2 linked regions of the Saccharomyces cerevisiae S288C genome follow. The gene in region 1 interacts genetically with each later gene. Each region holds a gene or a part of one and is shown on either strand. Other genes may lie near its edges. The genes, in order: HXT7 and SUC2.

Region 1 (4,316 bases):
ATTCTAAGATCATTTTTGTGTTCGGTCACCAGCAACACTATATAACGAAATAACAGTTGCCATATTCGTTTTCTGTCTTGTTGAAGCTCAGATTGCTCAAGAAATAAAATAATTACTACATGAGACAAAAAATCTCATGGGAGCAAAATTTTCAACGCATGTTCAGACCATTTTTTTTTGCCGATGAGTGAGTAATCGCCAATGGGTCTTAATCAATTACAGATCTTAAACAGTCGTTTGGTTTTCGATGCTCAAGGGATCGGACCAGCAATAATCGGAAGAAGAGATCAAACAATCGGTCATTAGTCTCAAAGAACATGCAAGCTAACACAATGTTAGTGAGGAAGAGATAAAAGTGTGGGGTGATGGTTGTTCCTTATGTTTATTACAGGAGAACGTTAAGTGAACTCTGAGAACTAACTGCAGCAGCTTGATTCTCCGCCTGTTTACTTGGAAAAGAAATGGGAACAAAAAAGGTACTGCATTTTTTTCCGGTTCTTTTCTCCACCTAGGATGAGGAGTAATTTGCCTTAATGGGGGATTAAATCCGGGGCTTTCCAAAGCGGGACCCATTTAATTCCACCTTCGGATTTTTTTGCATAAACTCTCAATTTCCCCGCGATCCATCTGCCGAATGGTGCACTCTACGGAAAAATACAGTAAGAAAAAAAAAAGTCCTGTAATCTTCAAGTCTTAGATTGACAGGAACGTTAATATTTTTCCTGATCTATGTTTGACAAGTATGGTAATTGATAAAATTACGCATATACTGCCAATAGCCCTAAGTGATAGTAGTCGGAAGAAAACAAAATGGCAAGCAGTTGACAGCAAAAATTGTTAGCGTATCCTATGGGTGGTGGAAAGAAAAGTTTATTAAGCTAGTATTATGTGTTTTTACTTTCTCACGGAAAAATTCTCTAGAAGAAAAGCGATTTTATTTTTTTATTTTTATTATACTTAGCATCTCGAAAAATTTCATTCACACGGTGAAAAGAAATTCCGAATGAATTAAGATCGCATTTAATTTCTTGATGTCTACATTAACAGGCTGCACAAAACAACCCTAGAAAATAGTACTCTCATCGCTAAGATCATTTGGGGTTGTTAAGCATGCCCTGCTAAACACGCCCTACTAAACACTTCAAAAGCAACTTAAAATATTTTTATCTAATTATAGCTAAAACCCAATGTGAAAGACATATCATACTGTAAAAGTGAAAAAGCAGCACCGTTGAACGCCGCAAGAGTGCTCCCATAACGCTTTACTAGAGGGCTAGATTTTAATGGCCCCTTCATGGAGAAGTTATGAGGACAAATCCCACTACAGAAAGCGCAACAAATTTTTTTTTCCGTAACAACAAACATCTCATCTAGTTTCTGCCTTAAACAAAGCCGCAGCCAGAGCCGTTTTTCCGCCATATTTATCCAGGATTGTTCCATACGGCTCCGTCAGAGGCTGCTACGGGATGTTTTTTTTTTACCCCGTGGAAATGAGGGGTATGCAGGAATTTGTGCGGGGTAGGAAATCTTTTTTTTTTTTAGGAGGAACAACTGGTGGAAGAATGCCCACACTTCTCAGAAATGCATGCAGTGGCAGCACGCTAATTCGAAAAAATTCTCCAGAAAGGCAACGCAAAATTTTTTTTCCAGGGAATAAACTTTTTATGACCCACTACTTCTCGTAGGAACAATTTCGGGCCCCTGCGTGTTCTTCTGAGGTTCATCTTTTACATTTGCTTCTGCTGGATAATTTTCAGAGGCAACAAGGAAAAATTAGATGGCAAAAAGTCGTCTTTCAAGGAAAAATCCCCACCATCTTTCGAGATCCCCTGTAACTTATTGGCAACTGAAAGAATGAAAAGGAGGAAAATACAAAATATACTAGAACTGAAAAAAAAAAAGTATAAATAGAGACGATATATGCCAATACTTCACAATGTTCGAATCTATTCTTCATTTGCAGCTATTGTAAAATAATAAAACATCAAGAACAAACAAGCTCAACTTGTCTTTTCTAAGAACAAAGAATAAACACAAAAACAAAAAGTTTTTTTAATTTTAATCAAAAAATGTCACAAGACGCTGCTATTGCAGAGCAAACTCCTGTGGAGCATCTCTCTGCTGTTGACTCAGCCTCCCACTCGGTTTTATCTACACCATCAAACAAGGCTGAAAGAGATGAAATAAAAGCTTATGGTGAAGGTGAAGAGCACGAACCTGTCGTTGAAATTCCAAAGAGACCAGCTTCTGCCTATGTCACTGTCTCTATTATGTGTATCATGATCGCCTTTGGTGGTTTCGTTTTCGGTTGGGATACTGGTACCATTTCTGGTTTCATCAATCAAACCGATTTCATCAGAAGATTTGGTATGAAGCATAAAGATGGTACTAATTATTTGTCTAAGGTTAGAACTGGTTTGATTGTCTCCATTTTCAACATTGGTTGTGCCATTGGTGGTATTATTCTTTCCAAATTGGGTGATATGTACGGTCGTAAGGTGGGTTTGATTGTCGTTGTTGTCATCTACATCATCGGTATTATTATTCAAATTGCATCTATCAACAAATGGTACCAATATTTCATCGGTAGAATTATTTCCGGTTTGGGTGTTGGTGGTATTGCCGTTTTATCTCCTATGTTGATTTCTGAAGTATCCCCAAAGCATTTAAGGGGTACTTTAGTCTCTTGCTACCAATTGATGATTACTGCCGGTATTTTCTTGGGTTACTGTACCAACTTCGGTACTAAGAACTACTCCAACTCTGTGCAATGGAGAGTTCCATTAGGTTTGTGTTTTGCCTGGGCTTTGTTTATGATTGGTGGTATGACATTTGTTCCAGAGTCTCCACGTTATTTGGCTGAAGTCGGTAAGATCGAAGAAGCCAAACGTTCTATTGCCGTTTCTAACAAGGTTGCTGTTGATGATCCATCTGTTTTGGCTGAAGTCGAAGCTGTCTTGGCTGGTGTAGAGGCAGAGAAATTAGCTGGTAATGCATCCTGGGGTGAATTGTTTAGTAGCAAGACAAAGGTCCTTCAGCGTTTGATCATGGGTGCTATGATTCAATCTCTACAACAATTGACAGGTGATAACTATTTCTTCTACTATGGTACTACTATTTTCAAGGCTGTTGGTTTGAGTGACTCTTTCGAAACCTCTATTGTCTTGGGTATTGTTAACTTTGCTTCCACCTTTGTTGGTATTTACGTTGTTGAGAGATATGGTCGTCGTACTTGTTTGCTATGGGGTGCTGCATCCATGACTGCTTGTATGGTTGTCTATGCTTCCGTGGGTGTCACCAGATTATGGCCAAATGGTCAAGACCAACCATCTTCCAAGGGTGCTGGTAACTGTATGATTGTCTTTGCCTGTTTCTATATTTTCTGTTTTGCTACTACATGGGCTCCAATTCCTTATGTCGTTGTTTCTGAAACTTTCCCATTGAGAGTCAAGTCTAAGGCTATGTCTATTGCTACAGCTGCTAATTGGTTGTGGGGTTTCTTGATTGGTTTCTTCACTCCATTTATTACTGGTGCTATTAACTTCTACTACGGTTACGTTTTCATGGGCTGTTTGGTCTTCATGTTCTTCTATGTTTTGTTAGTTGTTCCAGAAACTAAGGGTTTGACTTTGGAAGAAGTCAACACCATGTGGGAAGAAGGTGTTCTACCATGGAAGTCTGCCTCATGGGTTCCACCATCCAGAAGAGGTGCCAACTACGACGCTGAAGAAATGACTCACGATGACAAGCCATTGTACAAGAGAATGTTCAGCACCAAATAATTTGCGAACACTTTTATTAATTCATGATCACGCTCTAATTTGTGCATTTGAAATGTACTCTAATTCTAATTTTATATTTTTAATGATATCTTGAAAAGTAAATACGTTTTTAATATATACAAAATAATACAGTTTAATTTTCAAGTTTTTGATCATTTGTTCTCAGAAAGTTGAGTGGGACGGAGACAAAGAAACTTTAAAGAGAAATGCAAAGTGGGAAGAAGTCAGTTGTTTACCGACCGCACTGTTATTCACAAATATTCCAATTTTGCCTGCAGACCCACGTCTACAAATTTTGGTTAGTTTGGTAAATGGTAAGGATATAGTAGAGCCTTTTTGAAATGGGAAATATCTTCTTTTTCTGTATCCCGCTTCAAAAAGTGTCTAATGAGTCAGTTATTTCTTTCTTACTCATCGCCCGTCACTTAAAAGAAGAAAAATTACTTTCATGATGCGAAGCGAAAAAAATTTTTAGCTTCAATTTTCACAATGCATCTATGGAGAGGATATTATAAGGTTACGAAATAAATTCTT
Region 2 (4,126 bases), on another chromosome or scaffold:
TCGATTCATTGTATCTCTTAAATGTCAACAGAGCATAAGTCAGACTCTTTGCCATTTTTAAAAAGCTGCGAAGGCGAACGTGACTACGGGGTGCGGGTTTTTGTATTGCTAATGTAGCATGACAGCTTATCCAATGTTTTGTTGTGTTCATTCAAACTATTTTGAGCCTCACTTCAATTTTGTTTGACTACTAACATGGCAGCATGCGTCGTTTCTAGGTGCTAGCCAGGCTGTGAGAACGTAAAATTAGCCTATGTTCAACATTCTCTGCTTTTCAATGTCACTGTTCATTTTGTTACTATGAAAGTAGTTCGTCGCAATTTGTACTTTTCTTCGAAAGTCTTCTTTTGCAGTAGATGAAGTGTGTTCTGAGAAATTGATGCTTTCAAATGGCCTTAAAAAATTTTTGTATCATAGCTAACAACATACTGTTGCGCCAGGGGAAGTGAAATCATGGTTGTATATTACAATAGCATTATGTGCATTTACCAAGTATGGAAAAGCGGAAAGTGTGAAAGAAGTTTATGAAAAAAGCGGAAAATAAAAAAAAAAAGTTTATTTTCCTGTGACTTCTGGGAAGCAGTTAGACCTCCTTCGCTGTATTCTTAGGTGCTATACCTCATTTCCACGATGGTAATAGACGATCAGTCTATTAATGCGCTAAAGAACGTAGAAAAGTTATTAACTGAAGAAGCTTTGCTAATGCCGTCGCACATTAAACGGCTAGACATTGCCTTGAATAGGAAGCCGAATAATCTACGAAATATCATGGAGCTTCAGGGCCTTGCATATACTATAGTAAAAAAAAAACTAAGTTTTCCCCTGTAGTAAACAGGGAGATACCGTACGGAGGTCTGAATTCCCTACAGAAGTAGCTGTAAAAATTCAGAATTCGCAACAACCTATAATTGAGTTAAGTGCCTTTCCAAGCTAAAAAGTTTGAGGTTATAGGGGCTTAGCATCCACACGTCACAATCTCGGGTATCGAGTATAGTATGTAGAATTACGGCAGGAGGTTTCCCAATGAACAAAGGACAGGGGCACGGTGAGCTGTCGAAGGTATCCATTTTATCATGTTTCGTTTGTACAAGCACGACATACTAAGACATTTACCGTATGGGAGTTGTTGTCCTAGCGTAGTTCTCGCTCCCCCAGCAAAGCTCAAAAAAGTACGTCATTTAGAATAGTTTGTGAGCAAATTACCAGTCGGTATGCTACGTTAGAAAGGCCCACAGTATTCTTCTACCAAAGGCGTGCCTTTGTTGAACTCGATCCATTATGAGGGCTTCCATTATTCCCCGCATTTTTATTACTCTGAACAGGAATAAAAAGAAAAAACCCAGTTTAGGAAATTATCCGGGGGCGAAGAAATACGCGTAGCGTTAATCGACCCCACGTCCAGGGTTTTTCCATGGAGGTTTCTGGAAAAACTGACGAGGAATGTGATTATAAATCCCTTTATGTGATGTCTAAGACTTTTAAGGTACGCCCGATGTTTGCCTATTACCATCATAGAGACGTTTCTTTTCGAGGAATGCTTAAACGACTTTGTTTGACAAAAATGTTGCCTAAGGGCTCTATAGTAAACCATTTGGAAGAAAGATTTGACGACTTTTTTTTTTTGGATTTCGATCCTATAATCCTTCCTCCTGAAAAGAAACATATAAATAGATATGTATTATTCTTCAAAACATTCTCTTGTTCTTGTGCTTTTTTTTTACCATATATCTTACTTTTTTTTTTCTCTCAGAGAAACAAGCAAAACAAAAAGCTTTTCTTTTCACTAACGTATATGATGCTTTTGCAAGCTTTCCTTTTCCTTTTGGCTGGTTTTGCAGCCAAAATATCTGCATCAATGACAAACGAAACTAGCGATAGACCTTTGGTCCACTTCACACCCAACAAGGGCTGGATGAATGACCCAAATGGGTTGTGGTACGATGAAAAAGATGCCAAATGGCATCTGTACTTTCAATACAACCCAAATGACACCGTATGGGGTACGCCATTGTTTTGGGGCCATGCTACTTCCGATGATTTGACTAATTGGGAAGATCAACCCATTGCTATCGCTCCCAAGCGTAACGATTCAGGTGCTTTCTCTGGCTCCATGGTGGTTGATTACAACAACACGAGTGGGTTTTTCAATGATACTATTGATCCAAGACAAAGATGCGTTGCGATTTGGACTTATAACACTCCTGAAAGTGAAGAGCAATACATTAGCTATTCTCTTGATGGTGGTTACACTTTTACTGAATACCAAAAGAACCCTGTTTTAGCTGCCAACTCCACTCAATTCAGAGATCCAAAGGTGTTCTGGTATGAACCTTCTCAAAAATGGATTATGACGGCTGCCAAATCACAAGACTACAAAATTGAAATTTACTCCTCTGATGACTTGAAGTCCTGGAAGCTAGAATCTGCATTTGCCAATGAAGGTTTCTTAGGCTACCAATACGAATGTCCAGGTTTGATTGAAGTCCCAACTGAGCAAGATCCTTCCAAATCTTATTGGGTCATGTTTATTTCTATCAACCCAGGTGCACCTGCTGGCGGTTCCTTCAACCAATATTTTGTTGGATCCTTCAATGGTACTCATTTTGAAGCGTTTGACAATCAATCTAGAGTGGTAGATTTTGGTAAGGACTACTATGCCTTGCAAACTTTCTTCAACACTGACCCAACCTACGGTTCAGCATTAGGTATTGCCTGGGCTTCAAACTGGGAGTACAGTGCCTTTGTCCCAACTAACCCATGGAGATCATCCATGTCTTTGGTCCGCAAGTTTTCTTTGAACACTGAATATCAAGCTAATCCAGAGACTGAATTGATCAATTTGAAAGCCGAACCAATATTGAACATTAGTAATGCTGGTCCCTGGTCTCGTTTTGCTACTAACACAACTCTAACTAAGGCCAATTCTTACAATGTCGATTTGAGCAACTCGACTGGTACCCTAGAGTTTGAGTTGGTTTACGCTGTTAACACCACACAAACCATATCCAAATCCGTCTTTGCCGACTTATCACTTTGGTTCAAGGGTTTAGAAGATCCTGAAGAATATTTGAGAATGGGTTTTGAAGTCAGTGCTTCTTCCTTCTTTTTGGACCGTGGTAACTCTAAGGTCAAGTTTGTCAAGGAGAACCCATATTTCACAAACAGAATGTCTGTCAACAACCAACCATTCAAGTCTGAGAACGACCTAAGTTACTATAAAGTGTACGGCCTACTGGATCAAAACATCTTGGAATTGTACTTCAACGATGGAGATGTGGTTTCTACAAATACCTACTTCATGACCACCGGTAACGCTCTAGGATCTGTGAACATGACCACTGGTGTCGATAATTTGTTCTACATTGACAAGTTCCAAGTAAGGGAAGTAAAATAGAGGTTATAAAACTTATTGTCTTTTTTATTTTTTTCAAAAGCCATTCTAAAGGGCTTTAGCTAACGAGTGACGAATGTAAAACTTTATGATTTCAAAGAATACCTCCAAACCATTGAAAATGTATTTTTATTTTTATTTTCTCCCGACCCCAGTTACCTGGAATTTGTTCTTTATGTACTTTATATAAGTATAATTCTCTTAAAAATTTTTACTACTTTGCAATAGACATCATTTTTTCACGTAATAAACCCACAATCGTAATGTAGTTGCCTTACACTACTAGGATGGACCTTTTTGCCTTTATCTGTTTTGTTACTGACACAATGAAACCGGGTAAAGTATTAGTTATGTGAAAATTTAAAAGCATTAAGTAGAAGTATACCATATTGTAAAAAAAAAAAGCGTTGTCTTCTACGTAAAAGTGTTCTCAAAAAGAAGTAGTGAGGGAAATGGATACCAAGCTATCTGTAACAGGAGCTAAAAAATCTCAGGGAAAAGCTTCTGGTTTGGGAAACGAAGGAACTCCAATCGGGAATGAGGAGAGCACAAATAAAGCTAAAAATGGAAATAAAAAGCGGAATAAAAATCGAAACAGAAATAAGAAGACAGAGACAAAGGAACAAAATGAACCTAAACCTGTGACTGGAGGGGAAGAAGTGAGAGTCGAGAAATCTCAAGCGAAAAACAGAAGGCGGAAAAACAATAATGGAGCTAATAAAAAGAATACCCTAC

What was found.
Region 2: mutations in HXT7 (region 1) and SUC2 together harm fitness more than expected from each alone (negative genetic interaction), as found in Saccharomyces cerevisiae (one large-scale study listed by BioGRID).

What each region holds. Positions count from the first base shown.
Region 1 is NC_001136.10:1,153,682-1,157,997, reverse strand, and holds HXT7 (hexose transporter HXT7), read left to right. Parts: upstream 1-2,069; coding exon 2,070-3,782; downstream 3,783-4,316. UniProt on the Saccharomyces cerevisiae protein: High-affinity glucose transporter.
Region 2 is NC_001141.2:35,590-39,715, forward strand, and holds SUC2 (beta-fructofuranosidase SUC2), read left to right. Parts: upstream 1-1,795; coding exon 1,796-3,394; downstream 3,395-4,126. Other genes in the region: YIL163C (uncharacterized protein), read right to left, coding at 1,310-1,663; SMU2 (Smu2p), read left to right, coding at 3,844-4,126.